Linked DNA regions of Drosophila melanogaster. The protein of the gene in region 2 interacts with the protein of the main gene of each other region in a pairwise test. Each region holds a gene or a part of one and is shown on either strand. Other genes may lie near its edges. The genes, in order: CG6325, 128up and Sr-CI.

Region 1 (9,188 bases), on a different chromosome or scaffold from region 2:
TCAAAGCAGGAGTTTTGCCTGCAGCCCAATCCGACAAGTACCGGTAAGAACTACAGCCTCATTGTCGCCTTCAACTGCATTCAAAAACCATCTATGAAAATGGCTTATGGTAGGTTTGAATGTGTGCGGAAATCCAGATTATCGAATGCTTCCATTCCAGTCAAGTTCAGCTCCGTCTTCTTTATGGTCATTACAATTGCGGCGTACCTTTGGCTGCCAAAATTCAGATCGCTCCATGGCAAGTGCTGCAATCTGTACTTCATCTGCTTGGCCATCACTTTTTTACTGAATGTCATCAGCCTGTTTGGAATATTTGAGCTGAAGACCCCAATTTGCTATCTCACCGGTAACCAAATGAAGTTCTTTCATCACTATATTAAATATATATCTATAATACTGGCTGAGAATTGCAGGATATGCTGGCTACTTCACTGTAATGGCCACTTTTCTCTGGCTTTCCGTCATAAGTTTCGATGTTTGGAGAAGATTCGCCATGCGAAAGTTCCAGGTCTTCTACAAGAACAAAAGGAGCAGTTTCTTTAACTACAATATTATCGTGTGGAGCTCTGCTGGACTTTTAACGTGCATCATTTTTTTAGTGGATCAATTTGTTGAAACAAATTTAGATAACCCGTATAATCCTGCAGTAGGAGTATTTTCTTGTTGGATATTTAGTAAGTTAAAAAACTGTCTACTATACTTTTTGATTATGAGTATATTAAATTATTTTCAGCCAATGGATGGTCCGCAACGTTTTATTTCTACGCCCCACTGGCAATCCTAATAATTTTAAACTGTGCAAGTTTTTTTCTAACAACCCGATATATTTACGTGGAGAACAAACAAAATCAGAAAGTGCTAAATAACAGCGAACCGCAAAAGCTTTCCAGGAACCATGCCAAGTACCAAGCAATATATTGTTCCTGATAAAACATACTTATTACCCTTTTTCCAGCTATCGAATATATTTTCGCCTGTTTATCATAATGGGCGGAAGTTGGTTTCTCGAAATTATTGCCTTTATATGCGAGATGGAGAATATGTGGAAGCCCTTAATTATTCTAAACGATTACATAAACTGCAGTCAGGGTATAATAATATTTGTAGCTACATTCTGCAACCACGAAATGTTTAGGCTAATACGCAAGCGGTGGGTTTTCTGTGACAGTACACCCTAAGATTTTCAAATGATCATTTGCATTCTTTCAGCATCCAAAACCGAAATATTACTTCCTTAGAATTGACCAATACGAGCCGTCCTGTGGAATCTGAGAAAATGGCCGACGTAGAATTAGGGAAATGAGAAAAATTAAGTAACTGAATTGACTTTTATTTGCCATCACTTCATTACTTTAGAGGACTGGAGACTTCCTGAACAATATCTTGAATTGTATTTCTTATGTTTAATATCTTGAAACGTAGTTCCTAGGCTTGATTACATATGTATATTTTCCACATGCTCCTTCAGTGAAGCATGGAACTAAATCAATCGGTACGTAAATTACTCGTACCGCAGTTCAAAAGATATTGCTAACTAATATTAAATCTAATAGTTGAATCGAAATTTCGAATATCAAAAGTATATGTACGTATATGTATGCATGTGGAGGTATGAGCAGGTTAGAAGTCAAGCTCCGTATCTTAAAACTAAGTTGTAGATTACTTAAATGACTTCAGTCGAAATAAGGACGCGTTTCATGTTTTTGAAAAGCGTTTCGTTGCACTAAGTAAGGTATAGGTAACTAAATACTAAATACAGCACACGTTGTTTGTGTTTAGAACTGAACTAGATGCACGCAACCTTATCGAGTTTTGCAAACTAAAAACTGCTTAAATGTATGGTTTCCCTTATGTAAAAACTGTAATATTTCGAATTACCAAGAAGTTTGCTTTAAGGGTTTTAAAGATTGGTAGTGTTTAAATATTTGCAGCTTTTCTATAACATTATTTTTTTTTACCAGGCTGTCTATGTATTTGGTCAAACTGAAAAATACGCTCACAGTGTCTCGTGGTGTGTGCGCTTTAAGTGGAACTCTACCATGTTGTCGAGATCACTGATGAACATCTTGGACTTTCGGATATCCGAGTTGAGCACGCGCAGATTAGAGGTGTAGTCGGGCAGGTTTAGACCCAAGCTGACGGCCATCTCCTTACCCATCTTCTTGGCCATCTGGGCAAACGTGAGCCGTGCCTTGCCAAGCCGCTTTAGTGGGTTGAACTGCTCGTGCACCTCTTTAAGTTCACCATAATCGAGCACCAGCCATTGACCGCTCTCCATATTCCAGGTGAACAAGATGCGGCTTTCGTACTGCCTGTTGTGAAAAACACAGTCCATTCGGCCAGTGCAGTGTATGCAAATCGCCAGCGGCTGATCCCGCGCCGAGAATTGGGCCGTCAGCATGCAGACGATAGTCTGACTAAGTGGACACACGCTGATCACCTCATACGCCCAGTCGTAGAACACGTTGTAGATCTTCTGATGCTTCTGGCACAGAAGGCTGATCACGTAGTACGTGAAGGTCTCCAGATCAAACGAGTGCTGGGTGATTACGACGCTACTACAGCGCAGCCGATGATACGACGCCTGTGAAATCATTTGCATCTCCGAGTAACATGAGCCGTGCACTTCCATTGGCAGCGATGTGTGATAGCCCGGTGATATGCAGTCGTCTGATATGAGAACAGATTCCAATTGACATTATTATATACTATACTTTAAAAAGAATTCTTTTACCCTCTTCGCTGGTGATGACGGAGGTTGCATCGTCCTCCTCTACATAGCGTCTTCTTAGCTTCTTTGTGCACACAGGCTTCTCTGGCATTACACCGCCCTGCACAGGCATCTCCACAATACGTGGCTCATCGCGTCGCGGTGACAGGAAGCTCAATCCAGCGTTTGGGGACATGGAGCCACCCATATCGAAACGCTTGGCCAACGACATCTGGAGTGGAGAAAGTGCTCCCAGTGGACCCACTGGCTTGTAACTAAGCATTTGCTGTGTGGCCTGGGATAATGGTGGCGATTTCTGGTTAAACATCTGAGCCGAGTTTGCATTCCGACTTGGCGAACGCATTAGCATGGAACTGGACGGTGGTGAACGGAATCCCAGATGCGGAGGCGTCTGTGCCGGCTGGGAGGGATGTGGCGAAGAGGAGGGCGAAGCACAGGGCGAGTTGTGAAAGAAGTGTGCCGTGGGCGAAAAACGATGGAAGCTGCGAGACGTTGTGCTGGCAGTGGAGGCGTTGAAAGCCCTACCCGCCAATCGCACCTTGGTAAAAGGTATGATATTCTCCGAGTTGTCTTCCGAGAACTCATATTTCTTTTCCGCCAAACGTCGCTTTCGGAAAGTGGATATCTTTTCGTACTTCTCGTTGTCCTCTGAGAATTCATATGCATTCGATTTGTCCGTCATCGAATTGGCAATGGGAGGGCTCTAAGAAAAAAGTAAAATGTATTATCCGGTGTACTTAGGCAAATTTCTTTAAATGAAACCCACCTGCAAATCAATGGTTGTAATGCCATTTCGGAACTTAGTGACTATCCGATGGTTGCGCCTGCGTGGCGGACTAGATTCGTTGACAAGTGGTTTTGTGACCGGCAGCGTGGTCTCCGGCAGAGTCATACTATTAGGGCCCGTAACCAGAGTTGGACTGCAATGTGGCGTGAAAATTAGCTTATCGTATGCCTTTGGCGAAGAGTAAACGTTGCTCCCGGACTGCGACTCATTTTGGTTATGACCGGGTTGACTAGAGCGCTGCTCGGTTTCAATGTCGCTAAAGTCGGCAATTATGCGGGCCACAACACTCTGTTCATTTAAAGACTCTGCCTCCGATCCGGAACCTGTGAATGCAGCTGAGGAGCGATCCTCTTCGCTGGCCAAAATCGATCTGGGTAGCAAGAAAGATTGCGATTGAGGTTGCGCTTGAAGACTGGGCAAGATAAGGCTCTGCTGCTGGGGAAGGTACCCCGAGGTCACGGCCGGCGTGTCCATATCGATGCGCAGCATGTGCATAAATCCATTGGAGATAATCAGAATGCGCTCCGGGCAAAGCAGATTTATTTTCGGATCGAAAGCCGGATCAGTTTCAGTCGAGGAGTATTTTGTGTGCACTGTTAAGTGACAGGTCAGGCAGTGCGCATTGTAAAAGGAATCTAATGGCGGAAAAGGGCTTAGGATCACAGGCAATCTAAAAGTTTTAATTTCTAACACCTACATGGACCGTCGTCATTAAGTTTCTTGCACTCCAAGCAACCCAGTTTAGGAACTTTGACATATGTGATATAGCTATCTTCACCCTCCTCCGTGGCTGCGCCGTGGACAACTAGGATTTGGTGCTGCGCATTTTTCCACTGCGTCATGGTTACAGTCTTTATGTTGTCCACCACATGATCGTCAAAGAGGCGACGCGAGAAAAAGTGGCGCAGCCTCTTGTGCGGTTGGAAAAGCCAGAAGTACAGACTTTGGAGAAAATTATTATTAACCTTATGATAGGATATGTTGAAAAATATGGATCTCACGTGTATTTGTAGCCCATGTTAAAGGAGTAGTGGTTCAGCGAAGAGCTGTCGTTGCACATCACCCGATGGCTTAGCATGTACTGGCCGCAGGCAGTTAGACCCATGAAAATGTGTCTGCATGGATATTCAGGTTATGAACAGAAGATTGAAAAATATGACTATTCGAATATCTTACCCCTCCATCAAATTGCTGGCCATAACATCCTTAAGATATAACTTTAACCTATTTGGCACTCTGACGTAAGGAAGCTGTTGCTTTTGGCCAGCCCTGGAGGAGCCTGAGAAGTGTCCAGTGCGCTGAGAAGAGAATTGAAAGTATGTTTAATTCGTACATCCTTTGGCTAAGTATAGCTCTGTTCCTAATATTAGTAAAACTATCAAAAGTTAGTCATGCGCATGTATCTTTGTAATTCTGATGTTTCTTAAATTAAATCCTTTATATATTAATTTATAAAGTTAACTTTAGAGAATTGAACTCTCATGCACTCATGCACTTTCATTGCAAATCAGTCAAACAAAAACTACAATTTTTCCTTAAAATGAGAGGGTAGACCTTGAACTGAAAAGTTAACCCCCTATAGGTTTTGCATAATTTTATTGTCTGATCAAAATGATTAAAATACTCTAAAATAAATTAGAGGGCAGATTAGATTGCATATAATCTTTCAACTGGACCCACCTCTCTGTCGTAGAGCATCTGCACCAGATTTCGTGTCCTTGGGATTGATGATGGCGTGGGAACTGGCTCTTCCGAAGACTCGTCCGAGCTGTCCACCGTGGAGAAGTCGTCCTCGTCGGAGGACACACCCGACAGCGACTCCACGTAGTTCTGGTAGTCAGTCTCCATATCCAAATCGTTAAAAATCAGACTTAATTTATTCCTCCTACTGTCTCGTCTCCTGAATATCGTCCGTGTTCCTCCGGCTCCGGCCGAAATGCGGCTGTGTCCTGAGTCCTAGCGCCTCTGATCGACTGGCGTGTAGCGCCAGTGGTGCTCATCGGACTCTGGACCTTTTCAACCACCGCTTGAGGGTCCAAATATTACAGCATCATCGCCTTTTCGTTATAAATAAACCGAATTGCTAAATCTCACTGCAACCGCTAGAGCTGGAACAAAAATCTATGTTGGTTCGATACTATCAACAACAATGCCAGTAGCATTAGTTATCGATAAGAACAAAATCAAGAATCGTAATTGAACTATCGATAGATAGAGCTTCAAGGGCGGTTTGTTCAAATGCTAGTTTCTGTAGCTATGAATTAAATTTAACTTTTGTTTGTATGTAAGTGAATAAACACATTCCATTGGTACGGTACATAACGAATTTAGGGAATTCTTGTATAATGTTCTATATTTTAATTTGTAACTACATTGGTTTAGTTTCGATGACAAATCAGCATATTGAGGTGGAAAAATTAAAATGAGCTCATGCAAATGACCCAAAATATGCATGTTCTTGAATCCCACAACGTGACTATTTGTTCATTGACCCCAGGGCGTATTTGTGGGTCAATTCGTTTGCGGAAGCCACCCGTGGCCCCACCGCAACCCCTTAAGAGCCGATCCTATAACCGGCAAAACTGATGCCGGGTTCAGTGCGCCGGGTTTTAGAGCTGAACAAAGTGCAGTCATGAAGAAACCCAGCAGCGGGCTTCAAAATTTTTGGTAATTCGGCATAAAAATGTCGAGCATGCCAGCAAAACAGAACGCCAATTGCCGGGATCAGCAAATTTAGCCAATGGAAATTCGGATCAGAACCGATCGACCAGGAAACCTGATGCGCTGGCAGCGGCCATTGCACCGTGCTTATAAGAGCTGGATGGCTAACTCTCAGGTTTTAGTTCTGGAATAGTACGTGTCGCGGTTGGTAAATCGAGGTACTTCGATACCCCGAGGAATCAGTTAAAATCATACATAATTGTTGACCACAATTGCCTCGGGAACTTCGATCGCGTCCTGAATTTATATCGAGTTATCTAAGGAAATAGTAGCCGTGATTTTACCCAAGAATTTTTCACATATCACAGTTGCTGTTTCTTTTAGATAGCTCTTTTGTAAACAGCCTAGATCCGAATGCGAGTATCCGAGTGCCTTGCGTGAATCCTGGATGAAAAGGTCCTTCGGTTTCAGTTTATGGGATACACACAGTTCAGTTTTGTCACACTTCAAGCATCACTGGGCTTTGTTTATCTCATGAGAGCGAAATTTATTCAACAGGAAACCTTAAATCATACCAATATATAAAAAAATCTGTATATAAAACATTTGAATTTCTTGGATCAAGTTTTTAAGCTTAATCAGAAAAGTAAGTACAAAAGTGAAATAAAGTAGGTTGGTGGATAAATATATTGTAAACTAAATTCTTTTGTCATAAAACGAAATAAGTTAAAATATTTTCATTGAAATCAATCTTTCATTTCCCAGAAAAACAAAGTACACCCAATTTAATTAGATACCAAGAATAAGGGCTTACTTTATTGGTTTGACCAGGTTGGGGAAGCACCACCACAATTTAAAACTTAGGGAACTACAATTTACAGTGTAGAAATGCATGTGGAATATACATATATAAAAACAAAATAAGATGAGTTGCTTAAGAGAGCATTTTGCGAATCATGTAGTTGAGGATTCCACCATTCTTGTAGTAGGTGATGTCCACCTCAGTGTCGAAGCGCAGAATAGTCTCAAAGACGGTGCCATCAGCCTTGAAAAAAGATAGTTCATTAATATAACCAAAATCGCTAGCACCAGGTTTCCAATAGCCTACCTCCACTTGGATCTTCTGGCCCGGCTTTAAACCGCTCTCTGGCAGGGCGATGTTGTACACCTCCCGGCCAGTCAGGTTCAATGTCTCGGCACTCTGTCCCGGCAGGAATTGCAGCGGAATGATGCCCATGCCCACCAGGTTGGAACGATGAATGCGCTCGTAGGACTCCGCGATCACCGCCTTGACGCCCAGCAGGAAGGGACCCTTGGCGGCCCAATCCCGAGAGCTTCCGCTGCCGTAGTCCTTGCCTACAACGAGGACCAGAGGAGTACCCTCCTCGCGGTACCGCTCGGCGGCATCGAAGATATCCAGCTCTTCCTGGCTGGGAATGTGCACGGTGCGGGGTCCTGTCTTTTCGACCAGTTTGTTGACCAACCGAATGTTGGCGAAGGTGCCGCGCGACATGATGGCATCGTTGCCACGACGCGATCCGTACGAGTTGAAGTCACGGGGTGTGATGTTCCGCTCGGACAAGAATCGGGCAGCAGGCGAGGTTCTAGCAATAGATCCAGCCGGCGAGATGTGATCCGTGGTGACGGAATCGCCTAGGAAGAGCAGGCAACGTGCCTTCTGAATGCTCTGCAGCTTGGGAAGATCTCTGGTCATGCCCTCGAAGAAGGGTGGTCGCTTAATGTAGGTGGAATCGGCACTCCAGGAGAAGAGCTTGCCCTCGGACACCTGCAGAGTCTGCCAATCCTGGGAGCCCAGCTCAATTTTGCCTGCAGATGGAAGTGAAATTAAACCAAACTCAAATAAAGATGGCGCACGAAGTACTCACTGTACACCTCCTGGAACATGGCGGGGATTACATGCTTGTTCTCCACTTCCTGTATCTCCGATCGCGTTGGCCAGATGTCCTGCAAGAACACATTCTTGCCATTGGCATCCACTCCCAGAGGTTCCTTCTCGAAGTCGATGTCCACGCGTCCTGCGATGGCATATGCGATCACCAACAGAGGACTGGCCAGATAGTTGGCCCTGGTGTTGGGATGGATGCGACCCTCGAAGTTTCGGTTTCCGGACAAAACTCCAGCACACACGAGGCCGTTCTTCTCGATGGTGTTCACCACATTCTCCTCGAGAGGACCGGAGTTACCAATGCAGGTCATGCATCCATAGCCCACAATATCGAAGCCCAACTTCTCCAGATAGGGAATGACTCCGGACTCTTTCAGGTAGTAGGTAACCACACCGGATCCAGGCGACAGCGAGGTCTTGATATAGGGCAGGATGCTCAGACCCTTCTCAACGGCCTTTTTGGCCAGCAGACCGGCACCCAGCATCACCGAAGGATTCGATGTGTTCGTGCAGGATGTGATGGCCGCAATGACAACAGATCCATGATGCAGTTTGTAGGTCTTGCCATCATCCCACTGGAACTCCCCAAAAGCGGATTGAGCTTCCGGAGCAATGGCGAATCCCTTGAAACCCACCTAAGGTAATGGTGGAGCAAAACAATGTTTAATTTAATTCCCTTTTTCTCAATGAATTTGAAACTTACTGGGCTGGACAGGCACGACTTAAAATCCTCAGGCATGTCGGAGACAGAAACGCGATCGTGAGGACGCTTGGGTCCCGAAACGGAGGTGACCACCGTCGACAGATCCAAGGTGATACTCTGTAGAAGGGATGTATGTTAGCTTAAGTTTTTAGTGGTATATGTAAGGCAATTTCAACCTGAGTAAACTTGGGATCTTGGGCCGCATCAGCATAGTTGCGCAGCTGCTGAGTTGCCTTCAGATACTGGCGAATGATGTCGATCTTCTTTTCAGACCGATCTAAAAAGTTTGTTATGATATAGGTAAAATATTGTTTTATGAAACAGTCTGGTTTTCCGTACTTGTCTGCTTCATGTAACCAAGAGTATTCTCATCGATGGGGAAGTATCCCACGGTGGCTCC
Region 2 (6,366 bases):
GATATAACTCAAACGGGACAGAACCTGCGTTACGCCAGCTCTTTCCATCTTAAATCTCTTGATCGTCCAGTTGCCGGAACTGATAGCAGACTCCAGTCCCGCTGTGATTTGTGCCGCCCTCATGTGCTTGACCACATCGAACTGCGCCGCCTTCACCTTGGGTATATTTTTGTCCGCAATGGTCTTAAGCTCCCAGTTCATGCGCTTGAACAGATCCTCGAACATCATGGAGAGCAAAGAACCTGCCAGCTCCAGTCGCTTGTTGCCGTAGTAATCGCGGTCGTCAAAGAGCGTTTTGTCCAGCTCGGCGGCCATAACACGACGCACCATCATGGATACATAGATGGCCTTCATTTGCAAGTTAAAGTTGTCCACAGGCACATGCGCCAAAATGGTAGTTAACAGCAGCTCACGGGCCTCTTCCGATGGCGTTTTTGTGGTGGCACTCTGAAAACGCTTGACCACCAACTTGGAGCCTAAAAAAAGGTATTTTAAGAACAAAATTTAACTAGGGTAAACAAACCTACCCATGTACTCCAAAGCCCTTTGCTGTGTGAAGACCTTCAGGTTGTAGGCGTCTATTAGAGAGGCACCGAATCTATTCTGCGATTTGCTGTCAATGCCAATTAGCGATTGAATTTCCTGATCGGAAACTACGCCCAGAGCTTTAAAGATCACCACAATGGGTATGTCGTCCGTCATCGAGTTGTGCTTGAGGTAGTACTTTCCATGCTTGCTCAACACCAAAGTACGTGACTTCTTTTCGTGTGTGGAGGAGGTAACCTGGCATTGCACCACACCGTTGAAGTCCTCGGTGAGCATCTTGTTCCATGACAGCTGCTCCTGAATGAGGATAACCTTCTCCTGACCTCGCACCACAAAGTAGCCGCCAGGATCTAGTGGACACTCATTCAGTTTGGACAGCTCGAACTCCGACTTGCCGGTAAGGGCGCAATTGGAGCAGCGCAGCATGAGGGGCATCCTTCCGATGAGCAAATTATTCCGCTTGATCCGCTGGGTTCCCCTCGTGTACTCGATGTCCACGGTGATGGGGGCGGAGTACGTGGTGTCCCTCAGACGGCATTCGTGCGGTGTGGTCGCTTTGGTGATGTTGAAGCCATCGTCGATGTCCGGCTTGCCCACCCGCACATCCAAGTACTTTAGGTAAAACAAAGGATCAGCTCCACTGGTAACCAGCTCGTTAGCCTTCACAATCTTTTTTATGTCCACGTTGATGAAGTGATTGAAGGAATCAATGTGCTGCTTCACTAATCCTTTTACTTGCAAGAATGCCGGCACCAATTTCCACTTCTCCGTTAGCGGCTTAATGGGCACCGACCAGTCCTTGCTGTCGCCGGGATCCCAGGTGGTGGCCTCCACGTTGTGATCGCCCATCTTTAGCTCCACCATTTCGTTATAATAATTTAATTTAAGTTTGTCAACAAAACAGCGTGCTATGAGGTTCTTCGATATGCGGTTTCTTTACCTATCGGTTATCGATATACTTGGGCAAGTGATAGCAAAGTTATTCCCATAGAGCTGGCAGTGAAATTAATTCCCGCTAAATCTAGCTTTAATTTATTTAAATTACCTCTGTGCGCGCCAATTAAAAAATTTGATAAAATAAAAATTAGAGGGTTTTCTTAAACTTAAGCCGCCTTAAATCCACGCACACATAAAGCACATTCGTTTTTTATTTTCGAATAAAAAATGCCATCAAGTAATCAAAGTGTTATCGTTGCACAGAGTCTAAACCTTCTTCACAATCTGGACCACATCCTCGTCGTTGAGAACGTGTTCGATGCCCACCTTCTGTGGCTGATGCTTCACAGATGAGCCCCAAACCAGCGCACTACGAAGGAAATACATAAATGTTATTATAACCAAGGGAACAGAGGGAAAGTGAAGCGCACTCACTATTTAAATTCCTTGGCAATGGAGCGATGCAGCTTGTTGCAGAAATCCTCAATGCTGGTGCGCTCGTTGTGGAGTACCACGGGCGAGTTGTAATCGGGCAGCTGGCCCTTGGGCTTGGTGTAGATGCGCTGCAGTCGCAGGTATTCCCACATCAGCTCCAGCAGATCGTCAAAGTTCCAGTGGTGATGGGCCGAGATGGGCACGCAATGCGGGATCTTGTAGATGACGTCCAGCTCCTCGATGGAGATCTGATCGATCTTGTTCAGCAGATATATGCAGGGTATGTAGATGCGGTTGCCCTCGATAACGTCAATGAGGTCGTCACTAGTGGCGTCGTATCTCAGGGTGATGTCCGCATTGTGGATCTTGTACTCGGATAGAATGGTCTTCACCAGATCCGTGTCCAACTCGGACTGCGGAACCATGCTGTTCAGATTGATGCCACCCTTGTCCTTCCGCTTGTAGTAGATATTTGGTGGTTTCTTGTTAAGCCGGATGCCGAAGCCCTCCAATTCATGCTCGAGGAGTTTCTTGTGGCCAAGCGGTTTCAGGCAATCCAGCACCATGAAAATGAGGTTACAGGTGCGAGCGACAGCAATCACCTGACGACCTCGACCCTTGCCATCCTTAGCGCCCTCAATGATACCGGGCAAGTCCAGCAGCTGGATCTTAGCGCCCTTGTACTTAATGCATCCCGGCACAGTGGTCAACGTTGTGAATTCGTATGCCGCCACCTCGGAGTAAACGCCAGCCAAGTTGGAGAGCAGTGTGGATTTACCCACAGAAGGAAACCCTACGAATCCCACCCGGGCATCTCCAGTCTTGGCCACCTCGAAGCCAGCTGGAAATACATAATGTTTAGTGATTGCCTGAATTATATATCCAAGAGCCTACCTTCGCCGGTTCCGCCGCCGCCTCCTTTGGGGGAAATCAGTTCGCGTCGCAGCTTAGCCAGCTTCGCCTTCAGTAGACCCAAATGGGCCGAGGTGGCCTTGTTCTTTTGGGTTCGGGCCATCTAGGATTCAGTTGAGAAGGTGGTCCAACAACCCGGTGATTTAGATAGAATCCAGGGGGGAATCCGCGGGGTAAATGGATGCGAGACAGGTTAGTTTCTGTAAGATCGGCAGGTACTCCAAGTTCCACTCACCTCCGACTCGATGGCCGAGATTTTCTCCAATATTGTGCTCATGGCTGGCTGAGAGTTAAACGCGGTTCACAGAAAACCCCAGTTATCAACAAATATGCATGTAAAAATAAAATATATAAAACTCTCGCGTGGACAGTTGGAGGTGCAATCGATATGTATTCGATACAATCGATTTGTTCAGTAATGTGGTCGATTCCCAACGTTAGCCAACACTTAACGAATCGTAAAAGTATTCTTAGACAAAATTAAAATGGTCAGGCTGATTGGAATATAGCCGTTACAATTTGATGGCTGCAAGAATGTTTGCTAAAGGTTAAGTTCCGCAATTAAATACTGAGAACTATTTATAAATTAACAAAAAATTAACATTGTTTCAGTTAAACCGCGCACCCCTCTGGGTAACAACCAAGCTCAATTTAAGAGCCAACTGACCAACAACGTCTCGCAATTGAATCGCAGTTTTCCAACGGCCGCTGAACTTTTGCGCAAAAATAGCACCCAATTGCGGCAAACAAAACTAACTGTCTGTCGTAAGGATAATAAGCTAATATACGATGGATTCGTGGAGGAAGCTGTGAAAGTTCAGCCCAAAAAGGAGAACGTTCCATCACCGATTATTCTGGAAAAATCCAGTTGCGAAATGTCAGCCAAAAAGGAATCAGCGGAGTTGCCAAGCTCCCCGATGTTGAAGCCAGGACGAAACTTAATTAGTTTAATTGGTCGCGTGGATTTCTGCCTTAAAACTCAAAAAATGTATCCGGAAATTAATGCTATTTGGAATGTTTACGGTGGGTCTGAACTGAAATACATTCAAAATCAAATTACTATATACATTTTAAACAGAATGATTAATATCGCTAAATTTGGCAAGTTAAATCATTAATTATCGTTTTTCAGGAAAATTGCTACGGATCATTGTGGGAAAACGTGGAGAACACACCTTGCTCGTGCGAAACAAAGAATCGGGGCCCGTCCTTCAGGGAATTTACTACGATTTCGAAGGCGTTATGAGTACTTGGAGCCCAGGTAAAATGCAGGAAACTGATAACCATTACATAACCAAAGTTTTATTCATTAAAAGGCTGCTTTGTCCATCTCGTGGGCCAGTTTATTGGCGAAAATCGCTTGAAAACATTTAAGATTGACCAGGTAAGCGACATTGACTGGCAACAGCAATTTCTGCGCATTGAAAATGTTACCTCGTATATTTTATTGCAAAACACTATGCAAAAGTAATTTATTTTTTAAGGATACAGTTTTCTTGAGATTTTTAGGCCAGGCGATAGTGTACTTTTCACAAGGTATAAATATGCTAGCCTAAGCTTTTCGATCCTGGCCTCCAATCAACAGTGAAATGTTTCATTTTGTACTTTTGTAGTTTACAAATCATGAATAATTTATAGAGTTAGTAACTTATAATTAATATACCTAGGAAATAAGTTAGCTTCAAAATGCCCCCTGACGATTCTCTCCAGGAGCATTGCACAGTTTCAAGGACTACAACAAATACAAATTCCGAAGTGGGCGTATAAAGTCTAATACTGGTGAACTTATTGAACTAATTGGAAGGAAATGGGTATTCAGTTCTACGAGTACAAGTCGAAGTACATGAAGACCGTGACCAGAAATCCGCAGAACAGGGCGCACAAGTAGCCCAAGTGCATCGAGGCAGTCTTCTCCTCGCGGAAACTGCAAATTGAAGTAAAGACTCCATGTTATAATGAATAATTAAAGGTGATTTCCCCAGAGCTTACCGTTTCTTGGAACGCGGCGTAAAGGGCGAGGGGGGATTTACGCCGGGCACCGCGCTGTCCAAGTACACGATTCCGTACGCGAAAGCTGCCACTAGAAGGCCACACAGCAGGGGACTCAGCCTGGAGCCCAGCTGGTGCCTGGTGGCCCACACCAAGGTCTCGTTCCACCTACTCTGCACCTGGTGGCTCAGCACCTGGATGGAATCGCCCGTGATGTATGGCACTGCAAAGAGAACGCCCAAAGCTCGTTAGTATCTCATTTTGAGTGTCGTTCTATTGATTTCACTGTTATCAGTCCTAGCGTGATAAACACGTCAAAATGTTGGGTTTATAACTAGGGTGGTTCAAATTTATTAGTCAGATATGTACGCTATGAGGGAATCAAAGCAATTTGGCTAAATGGAAAGAATTAGTGGGCAAAGAAATTTGCAAAAATGTACAGAAACCCCATTCGTTACACCATAAATAGCAAGGTTGCGCTTTTTATAGATTTGGACCGATGGGAAAGATTGGAAATAAATATTCGTTTGTATTGGTTTAATTATTTCTTTTCTCGACAATGTATAAAATTTGTTTTCTGCTTATATCAAATTTATATGTTTGAATTATTTAACAAATAGTTGATTAAACATGTGTTTTTTCTTTGAGCTTTGTTAAACTTTATTAAATTTTTTGTCGCACTTTTTTTGGAGCCACCCTAATGCAAAACCTGCAGCAAATAAAGATTGCTATATCGTCAGAAATGTAAAATTCGTTATTTTCCTGGGCCTTCTAGCGGTACCTTCTAATGTTTATATTACATACATTAGAATATACATGTATGTGTCGCGTGACGAAAGCCCAGTGCTAAATACCGTTAAGCTAAGCGTAGATGAATAACTAATAGCCGCTGGGCAAACAATTAACTAACTAATGGCATTTTGCCTCAAAGATGAAGCAACTAATCACTCTTTGACGATTTTTCTAAGGTCTTCAGTACGTTTGTATGCAAATGAGACGGCTAATGCGCATCAAACAATTTGCCTTCCTTATATAGACGTTTTTTCGCTATTCGGCGGCTTATGCAGGGGGAACAAACACCACCGCTATGAGATCACACGAACTTCAACTATTTATAAACGCGAGAATATAAACAAAGTGCGAGTAAAGACGACGCAACCGACAATTGCAACCTTGAATTCCCACCCCCGCCACACCGGGGATATACAGAAATAAACAAATGGAAATCCAATAAACCCACAATATATTTACGTTTAGCCCCCAGCTTGGCACACTTACTCGTTAAGATGACGCTTTTGTAGCCAATGATAAGAGTCCCAAAGAGAAGGGCCACCTTTTTGATCAGCGGATCGAGGGCGGTCACCACTCCCACTCGCCCCTTTTCCGAGGGTTTAGCAACACCTACGTAGTGCTCAAGTTTCGGATGCGAGGTCTTCGGCGTGGAGGTGTAGATCCGTCCGTTCGGTTGCCCGTTTTTTTTACTTCTGACTGCCGTTGAGAAAATCCCATTGGTTTTGTTTTTCTCCTGCTGGCGATGCGTGACGTCAC
Region 3 (7,188 bases), on a different chromosome or scaffold from region 2:
TGTTCGGAATGCGGCAGATAAGGTGAGCCCCTTGAAGCGCCCATTACCACGCCATTTTCCATGCAAAAATTTGTCCACTGAAAATTAACGATGCTCCACAGGCAATGCAGCCGAACGAAATATACTCGTGTACAGCCCAACGATTCCTCAACCATCCTTAACCCCACCAGTTTGCAGATAAGCCGACTTACTTACCATTTAATTAGGGCCTCAATGAGCATTAGGGTGAAAATGCGGCAACAGCAACTCGAGGCACGCCCCCTGTCTGGGCCATCAAAATGCCTTTTTAATTAAAACCCGAAGCGTACGGGGAAAAAAAAAAACAGGAAAATTTTCGCCGCCAAATGATGTGTGAGAAGTCGATAGAGAGCGACGGTGGGCGCTAAATCACAATGGCAAACAGGAAGTCATGAAAAAATTGAGCTTTAGAGGGGAAAATCCTAAATATCGGACAAGGGTGCATGCAAAACGCTGCGGAAAACTCAAAGCTGGAAAATCTTGTGTGAAATTTTGTTGAGCCTGCAAACTCTAGCTATTTCGTTGGCTTGCGTTGGGGTTTTCGGTCTGGGAATCGTCTGGCCAGGAGCTATAATTGCATAAAATGCCCAGAAAAATAATTCTGCTGAGCGCCGCACAAATCGTTCTTACACGGAGAACAAAACGATTATAATTTATATAAAAAAATAAAAAAAAATGGGAAAAATTAATTGGAAACCAAAGATAATCTAGTTATTGCACGTTTCATCATAAAGAAAAAAGAAGTTTACGTTGAAGGTTTTATTCTATTTTTTCTCAGTATCAACTATTTCGTGCAGTGCATTGGAAGGGGTGTGATAGCGGTTGTCTGGTTACTGGTAACTGGTCCCGTGCCAGACGCTAAGCTGCCAGTAAATCACAACCGAAAGCCGCTGTTAAAACACGAGCCTGCCCCGGAAAACTCGGAAAACTCTGTTGGTGGTTGCTTTGGCTTGGGTTTTCGGTTAGGTTATTGGGTCCTTGGGTCTCCAGCGTTTTCTTTTTGCACGATGGCAGACGGTGGTTGCAACAGCCGCTGGCAGGACACGTGCAACACCCGGAATCGAAGGTGGGGGGGGGGGGGTGTCGGTGAAAGTGGACGGTATGGGGTGACTGACAGACAGCAGCATCAGAATCCGCAGGAACTTAGAGCCGGAGGGCATTTCCTAGTAACTGACACTCCCCACAAGATTTGATTATGGATGGAGATCGGGGAAAGTGCGGAACTCCTTCAATGCTCGTTAAATGCGCCCAAAAGAGATTCATATTCGAGGAGTTAACTTTCCGGCCTCATACATATATCAGCTACTTCCCACCTGCCTTTCGCGAATTCAATTTTCTTGCCCTTTTCGCAAACAAAATATAACCTAATTTGATTGGGTTATTCACATAGTTATTCTTAGGGGTTTGTCCGATAGGGGGATCGAAGGCCTTGAAGGCACTTTTAACAAAAATTAAATGGCGCATTGAGCAACAATGCTGCGTTTTATCATGAATAACATACACTGAAGTTTATCACTTTAAAAAAAGGTTTTGAATTCAAAACTAGAGCGCTTTTGTATACAATCTGCTTTCTCCCTATTCTTATACTATAATTCATTTCATTTTTAAACGCAAACCGACATAAGTGTCAAGAGTTTACAGCACGACGTCTTGGTCGATAAGACATCCACTACCCATTCAAATCAACAAATGACGCAATTCTTTAGTATTTGGTGTTCCAAGGGCATATGTTCTGTAAGGGATCTCGTATCAGTTGTTTGGCACATTTTATTTACAAACAATTGTTTAGCGCACCAAAAGTGTAAAGCAATAAAGTCATGAATGTGAGCACAAAATTATCGTTGCAATTTATCCGGAAAGTGGGCGTTGCATATTTTCTTTTATTCGATTCTTGCATACACATTTAGAAACATCCTATACAATAGGCACAGTCCTAAGCGTTTGTTTTGGTATCACTGGGGATTACCCTCATAGATCGGTCCTATGTCGTATGTCCACGCCCATTTCCTCGAAATACTCTACATCGTCGTTATCGGAGTCGCATAACGGCTGATCATCCATGCTGTTTCTTTTCCGTTGCTTCTTCAGACTATCGAATGCCTTCTTGAATCTCACAGCCTTTTCGCTGCTGGTCTTTGATCCAGTGATTGGTATTATCCAGCGATTAACGACGTTGGCCAGAACTACCACCAGAACAATGGCGAGGAGCAGGTAAAGTACTACTAAAGCTGGATTGGGGGTACTTCCGCTCGTGTCCATGTGACCCTCGATGTCCTGAGGATCAACGTTCCAAGTGATGCGCTTCCGTGTTTTCATTGTGGTGTTGATGCCTAGGTTATCATATTAATTTTCTTTTAACGCAATCATAAAAAAAAGGCTTAAGTCTTACCTGTAGTCTTTTCGGTACTGGAAGTAGGGATCATTATTGTTGTTTTCTTTGTTGTAAACACATTTATTGTAGTTGTTGTCGTTGGTGTTGTTGAAGTTGTAGACGTTGTAGAAGTTGTAGACTTTGGTGTGGTTGAAGTCGTTGTTGTTGGCTTCGGCGTTGTTGAAGTTGTTGTCGGTTTTTTAGTGGTTGTTGTTCGCTTTGTAGTTGTGGCCTTTGTTGTTGTTGTGGTTGTGGTTGGCCTTTTAGTTGTTGTTGTACTTGTAGTAGTTGTGCTTGTGGTTGTTGTTGTCGTTGACTTCCTCGTAGTGCTTGTGCTTGTTGATGTGACCGTTGGGGGCAGGGAACTAATATCATCCTCGGTCGTGGTGAGCAGCTCCTTTGTGCACTCCTCCAAATAGTTTAGGCAACAAGTCTCATCCGAAAGGCACTCGTCATTACACCCACATCCCATGACTATACCATTGTTGGTTATATTGGAGGCCGAGATTGATGTTCCGCATCGACCTGAACAACTCATCATATCGTAGACCAGTGGTTGCTCGTTGCTGCCTGTCGGAGCCGTTGGTTCTGTGGTGGTGCTAAATCCGTTTGTGCCACACTCACTGCCTGTCATTAGCTTTACATCATCGATGGCAATATCTCCGAATTGGGATCTTGCATCCGTTGCCGTGAATATCACCTGGAAGTCCTCTTGCATCTCGTCAATGCTGATCGTGTGCTCTAGCCACTGGGTTCCCTGCTGACCAGATATCTCAAATTTGCTGCAACTAAGATAAAACAGAAACAGAAGCAATCAGTATAATTGTTGCCATGCTTTCGGAATTTTTTGCCACTTTTATCTCATTGCCTGCGACCTTTAATCTAAAACCTCTTCCGCTCCGGCAAAACTCACTTGGCTCTGAACCTATTCCACATGGTTGCCATTGGCATCGAAACGGGTTTAACGGACACCACCAGATTATCCACACCAGCGCCAAACATGAAGTAGTGGAATCGAAAGCAGCAGGCGGTCTTCAGGGTGAGGGATCTGGGATAGATCGGCGATAGCAGATGGTAGCTTCCATAAGCCCCCATTTGGGTTTCCATGCGCATGTAATGACCACCGGATTCGTTTTTAAACGTGTGATCGTGGCGGGGTCCCGTTCTTAGGGAGTGAATATCGGATACCGTGCTGACTCGCTTCCAGGGTCGTCGGAAGGTTGTCTCCGCCTCCCAACCGCACTGATCCTCGCTCTCGAAATCGCAAGAATGATCTCTTGTGTGGTTGCTCCTTCGACACGATCCCAGCTGGGTGCTCCATCTTTCTCCATCGCAGTAGGCAGTGCGACCACCGACCAAGACATAGCCATCGTGGCACACGACATCCGCCCTTAGGGAAAGATTTTCGACGTGTCCGTTCTCCGGATCCTCGGGCCTCGCACATCCCCTACCTTATGTTGAAAAAATGCAAGAAACTCAGTAAAACCATTAGATTATATCGATTTTGTGGCTCTTACTGGCACAGAATGGTTTTTCGCCTCGAAGGCGACCATCTCGATCGCAAGTTTGCATTACTGTTCCCTGCAAAGTGTAGCCGCGATTGCATCTGAATCTCACCACATTTCTCTGTCGATAATTTATACTTCCATTATCCAAATCTATTGATCTTTCACATCGTCCATGAATGTGACCTATACAATATATCACAATCACAGCCAGAGTCCAGAAAAATTCCATTCCGCAGAGATATTACGAACTTAATGTATAGATACGGTCGAAGGCTGTCAAAAGACTGAGAGTCCGATTGCAGCTCGACATCACTCGGAGCAACGAAGAGCGGGACTCATACAATTACAAGATGGTTGAAGTCGAAGAGCAGATAACCGCTATATTGTTCATTCTTAATTCACTCTTAATTTTATACAAATATATATAAATATAGATTTAAATCGCGTCTTATTTTCTTGCGCTGCACTTATAAACGTTTTTTAAACTTATACTATGGGTAAATCTTATAAGCCCAAAATGATAATAGATTTTACAACTCGTCCTTGTTAAGAATGTGGTTCATTGGTTTCAGATTTTATAAATTTTACATCGTCGATACCAATGTCTCCATGGAGAGAACTTGGGTCCACGACTGTGAAGACCACCTGGAAGTCCGACTCCATCTCGTCGATGGAGATGGACTGGCTTTTCCAGTTTGGGCCTTGATCGCCAGACACGGTGAGTTTGGTGCAGCTGGAGAATAACATAAGATGTATTTAAAGCATTTTAAAGTGATTTGGATAGATCGCTTACATATTTCTGAAACTATTCCACATATCCTCGACCGCCATTGAAGAGGGTTTCACGGAGATCGTCAGGTTTCTTACTTCCGAACCAAACATAAAGAGTTCGAACTGAAACCATAAGGAATGGCCCACCGTGAGGTTCCTGGGATAGATCGGCGATATGAAGTGGTAGGTTCTGGAAGCGTGTACCTGCGATTGCAAGCGAATAAAGTGTCCTTCGACGTCGCTCTGGAATGTGTGATCCTGTTGCAGGCACTTTTCTTTGAGAAAATCTGCCGCAGCACTTATTCGCTTCCATGGTTGGGGTATGGCTTTGCTGGCCCTCCAACCGCACATATCCTCACGTTCGAAGTCACAGGAATGGTCACCGACGCTGTTGGCCAACTGACAGGTTCCCAGCTTGATGATCCACTTCGTTCCATTGCAGTAGGTAAAGGAATTTCCGCTAAGAACAAATTCATCATCGCATTCGATTTCCGCCTTTAAGCCATCCGTGGCCGTCAAAATGGTTCCGTTGGCTTGTTTCTCAATATCATTGCAACCCGCTTCTGAAAGTTTTACATTATATATACATATTTTAAGTTTTATTACTCATTTTAACTCACTGGCGCAGTAACGCTTCATCATATTTCCATTGCCAAGGTGCCACGTCTTTCCCTGCAAAGAAAATCCGGGATTGCACTCGAACTTGATGCTATCACCTAGGAGCCAACTAGATAACTCTGTAACTTTTCCGTTGCGCAACAAAATGTCGGGCTCACAACTGGCAATCGATTGGATCACCATATATATCATAAATAGTCTCAGTGCCCACAAAATTTCTACAGAAACCATTGCCATTGTATAAATTTGGATGCTAAATAACGACTGAACTGAGTAAAGCTTTTGAATACAAATTTTTACGTTTCCTTATCTGCTATCAACTTTTTTGTACCAAAAATCTCAAAAAATCTTATCGTTTACTTTTTGCGTATTTCCACATTATATTTACTTCTACAAATATTGAACCAACCGCTGCTTACTTTATACACTTTTATTTTATAATAAATAAACACTTCTCTTTTCTTTCAGAACATGTGAAATGATACGGTAAGTTCCAAATGTTTCTAAATAGTAGGTGGGGTCTTGCCATATGTTAGTTTGAATAAAATGAAATGTACACTTGAATACTTGTAGAAATGCTGCACGATATTGCAAAAGGGCTGATAAATTGTATTGTTCCGAAAAAGGTATGGGAAATCCGTAGATCGGTTGAACTTGGGCGATATCTTATTATCAGTGAATGATAAATTATTCGTTTAGTTCATCCCCAAATAACACCACTAAACTGGCTTTATCGTTTTGTCCTGGGACGCCATTCAAATGCAATTATTCGCATCTCCGGTCGGAATTGGATTCCATGGAGATGGAACTAAATAGAAGCATCTTCTTCCTGTCGCCTGCAAGCTTAAATAAATGGGCATCTGTTGGAAGGTCCTGGAAAATGATTGTCGAGGGTTCGGGTGGCGCTTCTTGCTGTGATTTATGTTTACTTCCGCTTAAGACTCAAACAACTCGCAATCATGACGGTCGCTCTCTCCGCATCTCTTTCCAAATCTCCCCCCCACTTTCGTAGTGTCGAGATAATCAGTCAATATTGACAACTACTTATTGGCACTTCCGATGAGCGCGGATTGGGGCGGAATGGGCGGAATGGGAATGGTAGGGTTGGGGTGCCGAAGGACACGTGACCGGGGATCAGGAACTGCCACGTGTCCGGCGAAATGCAACGGAAAGTGTAGCGAATTCCCTTTCTCCGATTTCCCGATTCAATGTAAGCAATTCAAATTTCATACATAATTACAATCAGTGCAAAGGAAAACGAAAGGGATGGAACTTAAGGGAGGTTTCTAACTGTGGGACTCTTAAAAGCGAACATAATTCTGAGTGCACTGAAAAATGTTAGGCAGCGCCACATCAAAACAAAATGTATGTTAAATTTAAAATTCCAACAGAAGTAATATACCACTATTTGCGTTTTTATGTACATTTTGCAATGCATCCGATAAAAATTGAAAAACAATTTTTTAATGCGGAATGTTTTATTTTTTTTTTTACGGTGTATCCTGATCGGCAGCTTGGCCGCTGACTGCCGCTGTTTCACTGATAAGTTCCCGGCTGCTTAAATATTTGCTCATTATTATTATTATTCTTTTATTTGCGGCGTAGCCACTGTTGCCAGTGGTTTTGAAACTTCAATATTTGCGCTCAAATTACGAAGCTCAACCACCGGACTGCTGGTTTTGTAGTTGCCGGGCAATGAAGGTGGTTCGGATGTTAGGAATCCTTTCAGAGGTCTCAGGATTAGCGGCAAATGAGCAGCTGTTGGCAGGGAAGGTCGCTAGATAGGGCAAAGGTCAACGGGGCTGTTTCCAAGAGGTAGAAAGTTCCGGGAAATGCCTGGCATAGCAACGCAGGGAATCAAATTGGCACATTGTTGCTAACCATTTATAGAACTTACCTTAG

Evidence for each region.
Region 1: the proteins of 128up (region 2) and CG6325 interact in a two-hybrid assay, tested with the Drosophila melanogaster proteins (one large-scale study listed by BioGRID).
Region 3: the proteins of 128up (region 2) and Sr-CI interact in a two-hybrid assay, tested with the Drosophila melanogaster proteins (one large-scale study listed by BioGRID).

The regions. Positions count from the first base shown.
Region 1 is NT_033777.3:10,401,652-10,410,839, forward strand, and holds CG6325 (uncharacterized protein), read right to left. Parts: upstream 5,635-9,188; 5' UTR 5,367-5,634; coding exon 5,199-5,366; intron 4,817-5,198; coding exon 4,695-4,816; intron 4,634-4,694; coding exon 4,520-4,633; intron 4,461-4,519; coding exon 4,216-4,460; intron 4,154-4,215; coding exon 3,498-4,153; intron 3,435-3,497; coding exon 2,735-3,434; intron 2,671-2,734; coding exon 1,997-2,670; 3' UTR 1,316-1,996; downstream 1-1,315. Other genes in the region: mthl11 (methuselah-like 11), read left to right, coding at 1-346, 414-674, 734-902, 956-1,150, 1,210-1,303; Irp-1B (iron regulatory protein 1B), read right to left, coding at 7,114-7,224, 7,288-8,006, 8,066-8,720, 8,789-8,905, 8,965-9,065, 9,128-9,188.
Region 2 is NT_033778.4:12,034,163-12,040,528, reverse strand, and holds 128up (upstream of RpIII128), read right to left. Parts: upstream 3,232-6,366; 5' UTR 3,107-3,231; coding exon 3,065-3,106; intron 2,933-3,064; coding exon 2,812-2,932; intron 2,759-2,811; coding exon 1,918-2,758; intron 1,853-1,917; coding exon 1,750-1,852; 3' UTR 1,678-1,749; downstream 1-1,677. Other genes in the region: Polr3B (RNA polymerase III subunit B), read right to left, coding at 1-476, 528-1,410; CG43191 (uncharacterized protein), read left to right, coding at 3,364-3,376, 3,442-3,852, 3,962-4,090, 4,146-4,300; CG8321 (uncharacterized protein), read right to left, coding at 4,651-4,753, 4,819-5,041, 6,097-6,366. UniProt on the Drosophila melanogaster protein: Catalyzes the conversion of GTP to GDP through hydrolysis of the gamma-phosphate bond in GTP. Dfd/deformed is required to activate 128up in maxillary segment cells.
Region 3 is NT_033779.5:4,118,698-4,125,885, reverse strand, and holds Sr-CI (scavenger receptor class C, type I), read right to left. Parts: upstream 4,185-7,188; 5' UTR 4,127-4,184; coding exon 3,907-4,126; intron 3,841-3,906; coding exon 3,303-3,840; intron 3,178-3,302; coding exon 2,408-3,177; intron 2,349-2,407; coding exon 1,987-2,348; 3' UTR 1,733-1,986; downstream 1-1,732. Other genes in the region: Sr-CIII (scavenger receptor class C, type III), read right to left, coding at 4,444-4,630, 4,691-5,231, 5,289-5,523.